Linked DNA regions of Saccharomyces cerevisiae S288C. The protein of the gene in region 2 interacts with the protein of the main gene of each other region in a biochemical or structural test. Each region holds a gene or a part of one and is shown on either strand. Other genes may lie near its edges.

Region 1 (4,091 bases), on a different chromosome or scaffold from region 2:
TAATCAACTTTTAATTTACAATATATAATATTTTTAGTCTGTAATATTCAATATTCAAAGACACCCAAACATTCATTGCACTTGGTATTTACCAAAAAATTGAAGAGAAAATTTTTGAGATGACCATGGATGAGGCAATGAAAGTCGAAATTTGATCCCCGCTACTAACTTCTAAACATATCGTCAGGACAATTGAGCTGAAAATGTCTAATCCAGATGATTTAGATGATGGACTCGCCTATGATTTTGATGCCGAACATGAAGTAATTTTTGACGCCAAGGATGGTAGTCCCCCAACCAAAAAGGTACAAAAGAGGTCTATAGAACAAGATGACGATGACGTTGATGATATAGATGGGAAAAAAGAGGAGAGAAATTCAGAAGATGATTCGAATAGACCTATTTCGAAAAGACAGAAAAAGCTACAGAAAAAATCAAAGCTAATTGAGAAAAAGAAAGAGGAAAGCCAGTATATCGTCTCACAACGAAAAGCACTTCCAGCAAGTTCACCAGAAAAAATTATTGAGTACCTAACAACTTTGATACGAGAAAAAAATCCTGACTTGAGTGTTTTAGAATTAGAGGAACTTTACTTCAAAAGAAATGATTTTCTTTCGACAGAAAAATTTGACGCTGAACGCAGATTAAGCAATTTCCCAGCCTTTATTCAAAAATTTTCCGTAGCTCCAAAAAAAATTGTTTTTTCTATGTCTAATATTAGAGTAGCAGACGTTTATCGTAGTCTAAACGGTGGCAAAAATTGCGTCAAATTATTCTCTAAAAGTAAACTAAAGGATGACATAGCCACCGTGGAACGTTTACTTACTGACAGCTCTAAAAAATCAAACAAAAATAAAGATTCACTATATTTTATTGCCACTCCAACAAGAATGCAGAAAATTATAGAAGCTACTGACTTACTTTTCCAAGGTAAGGAAAAGTTAGATATCATTCTTGATGCAAGTTATTTAGATCCTAAGGATAATACTATATTATCATTCGAGAATGCAGCCGTCCTCTGCCAAGTCTTGAAAACCTTTTTGAATAAAAAAAGCTCCGTGAAAATACTGTTATATTAATAATAGCGCTTTTTCACTGAGGTTCTACACATAAGATTACGTTTTTAAATACCAGCCTTAATTTAGTATATTAAATATTTCATTCTAGCATTTGATGGGGTACTTCAAATTATCTTCTTTAAATTGTCCAAAGCCCTTCCAAAAAGTAAAATCAAAGGAGAAACTTCGAGAACGCCTAGGCGCGCAGCAAACTCCATATATAACAATGTATTTTTTCTTTAACTACATAAAACCAATTTATCCTATTTTACTCTTTCCATGGAGTGTATGCTTTTTTGTAGTTACTTAGATTCAGAAATTCAATGTCTTCCCTCATTTTCTTCACCGTAGAGTAGACCATGGGACGTCGTTTTACTTTAGTTTTTGAATTTTTTCAGCGATGCCCGAAAACTGAAAATTTTATCTCATCTCATTCACCTGCCTGCCATATATAGTATTTTCATGGTATAAACTTGGCATTTTATGTCTTCAATCATAAGAGTATAATTCCGGGATAAAAGCTGGAGATATCATAGTAATAATGGCTAAGAGAAATAGATCTCAATTTCGCATTCAGGAAAGGACTGCAAAGAAAAGAAAGCACGAAGATTCCTTGTTAGAAGGCAATGTTTTCCAAAATGCACCGGAAGATATGGATGAAAATACCATATATAGCGCAAAAGGCTCATCCTGGGATGAAGAAGAACAGGATTACGAAATGGTTCCTCGGAAGAATCGGTCTGATACATCAAATCTTGTTGAAGGCCTGCCTATAAAAGTTAACGGTAAAGTTGAAAGAAAATTGCATAAAGCCCAAGAAAAACCAAAGGACGATGATGAGGAAGACGAAGACTCTAATGACTCTTCAGAAGATGATGAGGGACCTAATGAAGAACAAGAAGCAGAGGCAAAGGAGGATGAGCCTGATACGGAGGAAAAAATTCTGCAACTAAAAGAAGACATTGCCGATTTAGTCACTAAAGTTATGGAGGAGCCTGAAGAAAATACTGCTGCGTTGGGGCGTCTATGTAAAATGGTGGAATCTAAAAATCCTAATACTTGTAAGTTTTCCATGTTGGCTTTGGTCCCCGTGTTTAAGAGTATCATACCAGGCTATAGAATTCGACCACTAACTGAAACTGAAAAGAAGGAAAAAGTTTCTAAAGAAGTCTCCAAGCTTAGAAACTTTGAGCAAGCCTTAGTTTATAACTACAAAAATTACGTCGGAAGATTACAGAGTCTTTCAAAAACTCCCAGTAATGCTGCTCCTATACAGGTTTCATTAGGGATTTTGGCCACTCAAGCCGCAAAAGAATTGATTTCAACGGCATCCCATTTCAACTTTAGAACAGACATTTTCACTTTACTGTTGCGTAGAATTTGTAAACCAAGAATTTCAACAGATCCAACTTCCATTCAAATAATCCAGACATTTGAAACTCTATTAAATGAGGACGAAGAGGGCTCAATATCATTCGAGATACTAAGAATTTTCAACAAAATACTAAAGACGAGGAACTTCAACATCGAAGAATCTGTTTTAAATATGTTATTATCGTTAGATGTCTTACATGACTATGACCCTAATACTAAATTGAAAGGTAACGTTAGCGCTCCTAAGCTCAAAAAGAAAGATAGGGTCCATCTTTCTAAGAAGCAAAGAAAAGCTCGAAAAGAGATGCAACAAATTGAGGAAGAAATGCGTAACGCTGAGCAAGCTGTTTCTGCGGAGGAAAGAGAAAGAAACCAATCCGAAATTCTAAAAATCGTTTTCACTATATATTTGAATATCTTGAAAAACAATGCAAAAACACTCATTGGATCGGTTTTGGAAGGTCTAACGAAGTTTGGTAATATGGCCAACTTTGATCTATTAGGGGACTTCCTCGAAGTAATGAAAGAACTTATTAGTGACACTGAATTCGATAACCTTTCCTCTGCTGAGGTCCGTAAGGCTTTGCTTTGTATCGTTAGTGCATTCTCACTTATTTCAAATACACAATATATGAAAGTTAATGTGGATTTGTCCAAATTCGTCGATGGGCTTTACGCGCTATTACCTTATATCTGTCTTGATGCAGACATCGAATTATCTTATAGATCGCTAAGGTTGGCTGACCCACTCAATAACGAAATAATAAAACCATCAGTTAACGTTTCTACCAAAGCAGAACTTCTGCTAAAGGCTCTGGACCATGTATTTTTCCGCTCTAAATCAGGGACTAAAGAAAGGGCTACGGCGTTTACCAAAAGATTGTACATGTGCATCAGCCATACCCCAGAAAAAACAAGTATTGCCATTCTTAAATTTATTGATAAATTAATGAATAGATATCCAGAAATTTCAGGCCTTTACTCTTCCGAGGATAGAATAGGCAACGGTCATTTCATAATGGAAGCCGATAATCCTTCAAGGAGTAACCCAGAGGCAGCAACCTTATGGGATAATGCTCTTCTTGAAAAGCATTATTGTCCTGTAGTTACAAAGGGGCTACGCTCTCTATCATCTAGATCTAAAGAGTGTTCTAAATAGCTAGATCCTATATATTAAGTATATAAAGAGCCACGATTATCGTTAGCCAATCATTTTTGCCGTGTCGAGTAGAATTGTATAAATATTAGCATTGTATGAAATTTGAATGAATTACCGCAAAAGTATTATACGTAAGCAATAGAAACAAATATCAGATTCAAGTTCACCAAATCAATATTAACAGCTTACTATATTGTCTTTTTTTATGGAAGAACATTACCGTGAAAACCCGGTAGGAGAATTTTGTTCGGTCGGACTTCCCCATTAGGCGTATATTAAGGGCCTAGAAAATAAGACAAAACGGCTTCTTATCTAAGCTGCTGTGAGTGACAGCATGTATTAACTGAATCAAACGGAGCCCTTTGATGAACATGGCAATCCAAACAATTAAATACATTTTTTGGCTACTGCCGATATTAGGGCTTACACAAGCACTTCTACAAAACCCAGGGGACGATTTTCCATTTAGCACAGTAATAGATATCCTCTCAGAAAATGTT
Region 2 (8,551 bases):
TGTTATATTCTAAAGAGTTAAATTATCCAATTCCAAATTCTAGGGACGGTTTCCAAAGATTTGTATTGTCCAGTGACATAATTTTCACTAAAACATTGATCTGTTTAATAGGTTTGCTATAAATGCACAATAATTTTTCACCCATGATACCCAATTTCAAGAGAAGCAATTGCTACATATAATTATTTAGGCTTTACTATCTACTACTCATTGACTGTGCCCTTTTACACAATTATAACAAATATGTCAAAGCAGATGCCATGAACTTTGTATCTGAATTTTTGATTTCCTTTTAATTCTAATTGCAGACGACGTAAATATAGTTCTGAATTTCAAAGTCACTGTTAATTAATTGTTCTAATTGTTTGGTTTTTTTAATATAAATCACTAGTGCTTAAGTTCTGTTGACGCACACAGTACCTATCTTTGATTCCTTCGTGCAAACAGTATTCCGGCACGTTAATTGATACCAAAAAGATTTCAAAATCAGATGCTTCAAGACTAATTGTATACTTTATGTGACTTCTGGAGTTTAATTTGTTGTATTGATGAGATAATATTGTCTATTATATTGCCAATAACAACCAGCGCCAGGTGTACTAAGTCGAGATGACAGAAAATTTATAATAAGTGTAAATACAATAAATTTTGTAAATAAATAACTACTTCAATAGAAATCTCAAAGTCGAAGAAACACAGAACACAGAATGAAACTGGACTAAATGATTTTCAATAAAGGAAAAGCACGAAAAATTTTTTGAACTTTTTTGGGACAGCGTGGATCGTGTAATTACTGTATTGGGAAATTTACACGATTCTCGACAAATAAAGAAAAAGGCGCGTTTAAAGACTTACAAGCACACCTTTGAATTATTTTTGTTCTCTATGATTATCAAATGTGCTAGTGTTTGCAAGATGGTGCTTTTTTTTCTTTAGATTGCCACGTTTCTGCTCCTCTTTGTGGTTTTCTTTTTTTTTTTCAATCTTACTTATAAAATGAATATTTCAATTGATGAATAGCTATATATTGGATACAAAAATTAGCATTTAATCGAAAACTGCAGCATGTATTTAATCGAAAACTACAGCATGTAGCTATGATACGACAGAAGATTTTTGTTTTTATAGTTAAGTCAAGAAGAAATTCTATTTGTCCAGCAATCCGGCGCAAAGAAGACTACTAAAGGGTATTGAAAAATTTCTAGAACCAGAAATAATCGAAAGCATTACTTTTTTTGGCTCTATAAAGGAGTTCTGGACAGCTTGAACTTCCGAAGTCTGTCTGTTTAGCTCGTTAAGATAAATCTCAAAAGAGTAGCAAGCAGGTGGGAGGGATAATTTGGATTAAAGTGTATATATTGCGTATATATAGCCACGTAAACCTCACACTATTGAGTTTAAACATTTTTCACCTTACGTTATTATTCTTTTGTCTAATTTTAATCTCCTCCAGTATACTAAAACCGCAAAAGCGGGTTACCCAGCTTGTTTCTTTTTGTCTGAAAAATTTTTTGCGATGCCCATTATGAAAAATTGGCAATAATAGTATAGTAGTTAGTTTAAGTTTAGATTCTTTCAATACTCATTCTGCTTCAGTTTGTAGTTAGATTTAACTCAATAGAGGTGATTGGCAAAAATGGGTAAGACACAAAAGAAGAATAGTAAGGGACGTTTAGATAGATACTATTATCTAGCAAAGGAGAAAGGTTATCGTGCTCGTTCATCCTTTAAGATTATTCAGATTAATGAAAAGTATGGCCACTTCTTAGAAAAATCGAAGGTTGTTATTGATCTGTGTGCTGCTCCTGGTTCATGGTGTCAAGTTGCATCCAAACTCTGTCCTGTCAACTCCTTAATTATTGGTGTTGATATTGTTCCAATGAAGCCGATGCCCAATGTTATAACTTTTCAAAGTGATATTACAACAGAAGATTGTAGATCAAAATTGAGGGGTTATATGAAGACTTGGAAAGCTGATACAGTGTTGCATGATGGTGCTCCTAATGTTGGTTTGGGTTGGGTTCAGGATGCTTTCACCCAATCTCAATTAACCTTACAAGCTTTGAAGTTGGCCGTCGAAAATTTGGTGGTGAACGGTACTTTTGTTACTAAAATTTTCAGATCCAAGGATTATAATAAATTGATTTGGGTTTTCCAACAATTGTTTGAGAAAGTTGAAGCCACAAAACCACCCGCATCAAGAAATGTTTCTGCAGAAATTTTTGTAGTGTGTAAAGGTTTCAAGGCACCAAAGAGGCTGGACCCAAGATTACTGGATCCAAAAGAAGTTTTTGAAGAATTGCCAGATGGGCAACAGAATATGGAGTCCAAGATTTATAATCCCGAAAAAAAAGTTAGAAAAAGACAAGGTTATGAGGAAGGTGATAATTTACTGTATCATGAAACCTCAATTTTGGATTTTGTCAGGACGGAAGACCCAATAAGCATGCTTGGAGAAATGAATAAGTTTACAATTGATGAGAATGACCATGAATGGAAGATCTTGAAGAAATTGAAACAAACCACAGACGAGTTCCGTTCCTGTATTGAAGATTTAAAAGTCTTGGGTAAAAAGGATTTTAAAATGATCCTAAGATGGAGAAAGATTGCAAGGGAAATCTTGGGCATCGAAGTTAAGGACGACGCTAAAACAGAAATTGAAGTAGTACCGTTAACAGAAGAGGAGCAAATTGAAAAAGATTTGCAAGGTTTACAGGAGAAGCAGCGTCTAAATGTCAAGCGCGAAAGAAGAAGGAAGAACGAAATGAAGCAAAAGGAACTACAGAGAATGCAAATGAACATGATAACCCCCACTGATATTGGTATTGAAGCCGCAAGTTTGGGTAAAGAATCGTTGTTTAATTTGAAAACTGCAGAAAAGACTGGTATCTTGAACGACTTGGCGAAGGGTAAGAAAAGAATGATTTTTACAGACGATGAATTAGCCAAAGATAATGATATTTACATTGATGAAAACATCATGATCAAAGATAAGGATTCTGCCGCTGATGCGGACGATTTAGAAAGCGAGTTGAATGCCATGTATAGTGATTATAAAACTAGAAGGTCGGAAAGGGATGCCAAGTTTAGAGCTAAGCAAGCACGTGGTGGCGATAATGAGGAAGAATGGACCGGTTTTAATGAGGGAAGTCTAGAAAAGAAAGAAGAGGAAGGTAAAGATTATATCGAAGACAATGACGATGAAGGTGTCGAAGGAGACTCCGATGATGATGAAGCCATCACCAATTTGATTAGCAAATTGAAGGGACAAGAAGGTGATCACAAATTGAGTAGTAAGGCACGTATGATTTTCAATGATCCGATATTTAATAACGTTGAACCTGATTTGCCAGTAAATACCGTCAATGATGGCATAATGAGTTCCGAGTCTGTTGGTGATATTTCTAAATTAAATAAGAAAAGAAAACATGAAGAAATGCACCAGAAACAAGATGAAGCAGATTCTTCGGATGAGAGTTCAAGTGATGACTCCGATTTCGAAATTGTGGCCAACGATAATGCATCAGAAGAATTCGATTCTGATTATGATTCAGAGGAAGAAAAAAATCAAACAAAGAAAGAAAAGCATTCCAGAGACATTGATATTGCTACTGTTGAAGCCATGACTTTGGCACATCAGTTAGCATTGGGTCAGAAAAACAAGCATGATCTTGTTGATGAAGGTTTCAATAGATACACCTTCCGTGACACCGAAAATTTGCCAGATTGGTTTTTAGAAGATGAAAAGGAACATTCAAAGATAAATAAGCCGATTACTAAGGAGGCAGCGATGGCAATTAAAGAAAAAATAAAGGCAATGAACGCCCGTCCTATTAAGAAGGTTGCTGAAGCTAAGGCAAGAAAGAGGATGCGTGCCGTAGCTCGGTTAGAAAAGATCAAGAAGAAGGCGGGCTTGATTAACGATGATTCAGACAAGACAGAGAAGGACAAGGCTGAAGAAATTTCTAGATTGATGCGTAAGGTTACCAAAAAACCAAAGACCAAGCCAAAGGTTACTTTGGTTGTTGCCTCAGGTAGGAACAAAGGTTTGGCAGGTAGACCAAAGGGCGTTAAGGGTAAGTATAAGATGGTTGATGGTGTCATGAAGAATGAACAAAGAGCCCTAAGACGTATCGCAAAGAAGCATCACAAGAAAAAGTAGTAACAAAGAGCATTATTTTTCCATTCCCTTGTATAATATTGAAAATAAAGGAAAAGAAAGCAATAGATATATTATGTATACATAGAATTAATCAAATTATCATCAAAAAACTTATAGGAAACCTATCGTTTTGAATTCAGAAAATACGAGTGCACAGTAGAACAATTTTTATTCCCGTTTTACTGATCTTTTCTTCTTGTTGTTACCAAATACCTTGGAGAAAATGTATATGATGGAGATGAGTAAGCATAGTAACGTACCATTTTTGATCTTGGAATAATCCTTTGTGTCAGGCCTTGGAATTGGTACTAGAAGAGTTGTCGAGTTCAAATGGCGGAATGTAGTATCGTCTGTAAAGAGAGATTCATATCCTAGACCTTTTTTATAAAATGGATTACGGGAAACTTTATTGTCACCTGTGTCGCAGGCTAATATAACTTCTGGATCAAATGAAACTTCTAATTTATCCCCTTTATTATTAGAAGGCTCAATATATCTAGTATGCAATGTCACTTCATTCATTGTGCCGGCTTTCAATTCAAAGATACTTTCAGAACCCCATGCCTTATCTCGAAGAGAGTATTCTGGTAATTCTAAGTCGTCTTCTCCAAAAAGTAGTAAGGGAGAGGATTGGAATTTATCGATAAATAATTCTAACGGCAATTGCAGGTGCATTAGATACATGCATTTAGGGCGTTCTTCGAAATCTGTGAGATCAATCATGATTTTTGGATGCAAACCGATAGGTTCATTCAGATATAGTGATGTCGTAGTCGTCGAGTGATTGTATGCGATATGGCCCTGTTTATACAATAAGGATGTTTTCTGACATCTTTCCATTTTACCATCGTCCATCCTCCAATTACAACGTATTCCACCAATATCGACATCACTTTCATCACTTGCATCCACAAAGAATACACCTACTTCGAGTTTCTCATCTTTCACTCTTGCAATTGTAAATTCTTCACCCTGTTTCAACAGACGATATTCAACAATTTGGATTTGTGTGGGCTCCACTGATATATCATATGTAAAATCTTCTGGATTCCATGACAGATTCAAATCTACTTCGGGAGGCAAGTACTGCTCTATGTCAAACTTCTCACTGTGAAATGAATTGTAGACTGGGTTAGTAATAAACCTTTCCGGCACATCCGAAGAATTTGAGTAAACTGAAAAGCCAGCACTCAGTTCATTTTCTATAACGCTTAAACTTCTAGCCAAGTCCGCTCTGGGCCTCCAAGTGATTCTCGTAAAGGATTTATCCAAGCTTCCAGTCCTCTCTAATAGCCACCTTTGTTGTAAAACCACACCAGAACCTCCACGAACAGTCAAATGAGTGTCATTTTGGCGCATATGATTACCGATATCCTCAGGGGCATTGTAGAGTACAGTCACTCTATGTCTTGTCACCATTACTCAGCTAGAAACGCACACTTCTTGCGTTTATTCTCCTCCCGATTTGATTATGATTAGCGTTTCCATTATTTGATCTTTTTTATCAGGGGGATCTTCAAAGAAAGGAACTTTTTTTAGGAAAAAAAAAATAATCATCTTTTATTACATGTGTAATACTTCAAGCAATCATAAACAAGAGTTAAGAAGGCAAAGTTCTGCTGTTAGTGTGTCCTCCAATACTCTTGCACGACAAAGTTTTAGTTATCCCCTTCTACGTGTATTGTTCCTCCGTGGTCGATTGTGTTCAAAGATTGGGAGCTCTTTTCGTGTTTTGCACTAAGAGCATACTGTTAATCCGCAAAGGCCACTAAAACTTACCTGCATTTGTCTACTTAAAGATACATTCCAACTATTTACATTCATTTTTATTTCTAAAAGAGCATTCTGAACCCTCGGCAATTATTTCATACTCCTTCTCAGAATAGGAAAATGCCCAATACGCATACTCAACATGTGCAAATATCAGAGCCAAATCCTGTAAATACTTTGTCTACACCATCCAAAAGAGGTCACCGCCATCGCAGATCGCTAGCAATATCAGGAGATTTTGATTTTTTGAAACAGCCTGCAGCAATTGTGAATTTACCACCTCCACAGGCGGCTGAAAATTGTCCTTCAACTGCCCCAACTGCTGTATCAAGTACATTATCGCCAATACGCTACAATAGATTTCCTTGCAAAACCAATGAAGACGCTGGAACGTTAGATTTGCCTGAACCAAGATTTTATCCGTTATCACCAAAGAACAATCTGCAAACACCAAGTCCACGATTTTTCATTAGTGAAGAGCCAAGTTTTTCATCGCCAGTTAAAGGCGTCCCAGATGCCATTATTAACCTTGACGATGCGTTGAAGACAAGGCCTAGGTCATTTAAATCACATAGAAGATCTGAATCCGCTCCTCCTGATTTGGAGGTTATGGTAGATAAGGGCAATTGTGCAGCCGGTTCTAACTCTATGATTAAAGAAGAAGAGGACTCCTTAATTGAACCAGAATCGAAAAATGAATATTATGAGCAAAAGCTTCCAACAGCACTATTATCCCCACTGCGGCCTTCCCTTTGTGTATCTGAACAGGCCATTGATGTAGATGATTCAGCTCTCAATGGGTCACCGACCCATCACAACCATGGGATGCAAAACGCCAATGCACGGAATTCCAACACATTCAATTCGTTGAAGATCAAAGGCCAAAAGCAAAGATATTATCATTATACGAAGCAGCTACCTTTGACCGTAGGCTGTGACTCGCAATCTCCAAAAGAACAAAGGTCGGCTGCTTCAATGACAATCAATCAGGCAATGACACCTTCTTCCCTGGCCTATACCCCTTCTAAACTAGCATCTACTCCCGCAACACCAGTATCCTTTTATGACAGCAATGCGGACATTAACTTAGAAAGTGATAATTTTCCACTAAAAGATAACCCTAGATATGCCAAGGATGGTTATCCTAAAAAGTGCGGCAATTCACAGCTTAATCGTGTGCTGGATAGCGATAAAAGACAGGATTTTAGTGGAGAATCGAGAAGAAGAAGATCGGGCAGTCCTATCTCCCACATGCAACACCGCAACCTGATTGATAATATGAAAGGTAGACGAAACAGTAACACGATAAACTCAATCTTCAACTACAAGAGTCAACATTATGAAATGCCATATGATGATATGATGAAAAATGAAAACATTAATGCACAGTCCATGCCCTTTTCAGTCAACGGTGTCAACAATGAAAATAGTATCGGAGGGGTTATTACGAGAGCGGACGATGCACCCCTTCAACACTCTGTGGTCAAATCCTGTACGCCTGATGGCAAGGAAGAAATGAATAGGCTTAAAAGTAATGACAGTAATGAATATTCCAAGTCTGAAGGGCAGATCAGAACCAATTCGCAACTAAGTAAGGACATTCTCATGGGTGAACCAGGTGATATGGTTGATCTGTCCTCTTTTGTCAACGCGCAGAGAAAAGCCTCAAATGAAACTGGTGACTTAGTCTTTAGTTTATCCCAGGATGATGACGCACTGAAAACGTTCCATGCGAGCAACAGCGCAGCAACAAGCAATGAAAGCTGGTGTATTAGCGATGATGCGTTAGGAAAGCAGGCGCAGGACAGTGAAGTTAGGAGGAAAAGAAAATCCAAATTAGGACTCTTTAGACATATTTTTTCAAGGAAGTAATACAACAATATTAATAATAAGTAATAAAAAGGTGAATCGTAACCTTAACGGCATTGATTGCATGTAGTTTTAATAATAAAGTGTAGAATAATAAATATAAAATTTCAAAGTCATCAGAAATAAAAATTGAATAGACATATACATATAGAAATTACTTCTATCATTTAAATACATATATATACATACATGTATACGTGTATACTTGTACTTGTGAAGGACTCAATAGTTGTATTCGTTTGGTTTTTGACCAGAAGTGTTTGGGAAACCACATTCCAATAAGATATCGTTAATCAATTCAGGTTTTTCAGTAATCTTGGAGAAAACTTCATCATTTTTGGTTAAGATCATACCACAATAACCTGTGGAGTTGAAACCTATCTTCATTTCATCAGAAAAGGCCTTCGAGCGTGGAACGACACAGATCCATTCCTTGGTTAACATAAGATTGTAGGATTTCTTTAGTTCTGGATTTTCGTTCAACCAGTCCTGGAAAAAGGTCAAAGCTCTTTGCAATATGGAGATGTAACACATAGCTAATAGGTCTTCATCAACAGTTTCTTCAGACTCCGGCATTGGCAAGACAAAATGAGCGAACGAGACTTTAGCATCTTGCAAAGGTTCAGTATTGAAAGTTGGTAGGAAATGTTCTTTACCATTACATAGTCTATCTTGGAAAGTGACGAACTTTTCAGGCATTTGCAGAATTTGCAAATGTTTGTGGTCCAATGAAGAACCACTGGCTGGACC

Evidence for each region.
Region 1: the proteins of SPB1 (region 2) and NOC3 are reported together in a solved structure, tested with the Saccharomyces cerevisiae proteins (one study listed by BioGRID).

What each region holds. Positions count from the first base shown.
Region 1 is NC_001144.5:153,843-157,933, reverse strand, and holds NOC3 (Noc3p), read left to right. Parts: upstream 1-1,599; coding exon 1,600-3,591; downstream 3,592-4,091. Other genes in the region: CMS1 (Cms1p), read left to right, coding at 204-1,079; YLR001C (uncharacterized protein), read left to right, coding at 3,957-4,091. UniProt on the Saccharomyces cerevisiae protein: Required for synthesis of 60S ribosomal subunits and the transport of pre-ribosomes from the nucleoplasm to the cytoplasm. Also required for initiation of DNA replication.
Region 2 is NC_001135.5:29,813-38,363, forward strand, and holds SPB1 (27S pre-rRNA (guanosine2922-2'-O)-methyltransferase), read left to right. Parts: upstream 1-1,636; coding exon 1,637-4,162; downstream 4,163-8,551. Other genes in the region: RDT1 (Rdt1p), read left to right, coding at 1,098-1,184; PBN1 (Pbn1p), read right to left, coding at 4,331-5,581; LRE1 (Lre1p), read left to right, coding at 6,053-7,804; APA1 (bifunctional AP-4-A phosphorylase/ADP sulfurylase), read right to left, coding at 8,024-8,551. UniProt on the Saccharomyces cerevisiae protein: Required for proper assembly of pre-ribosomal particles during the biogenesis of the 60S ribosomal subunit. Specifically methylates the guanosine in position 2922 of the 25S rRNA at the stage of 27S pre-rRNA maturation.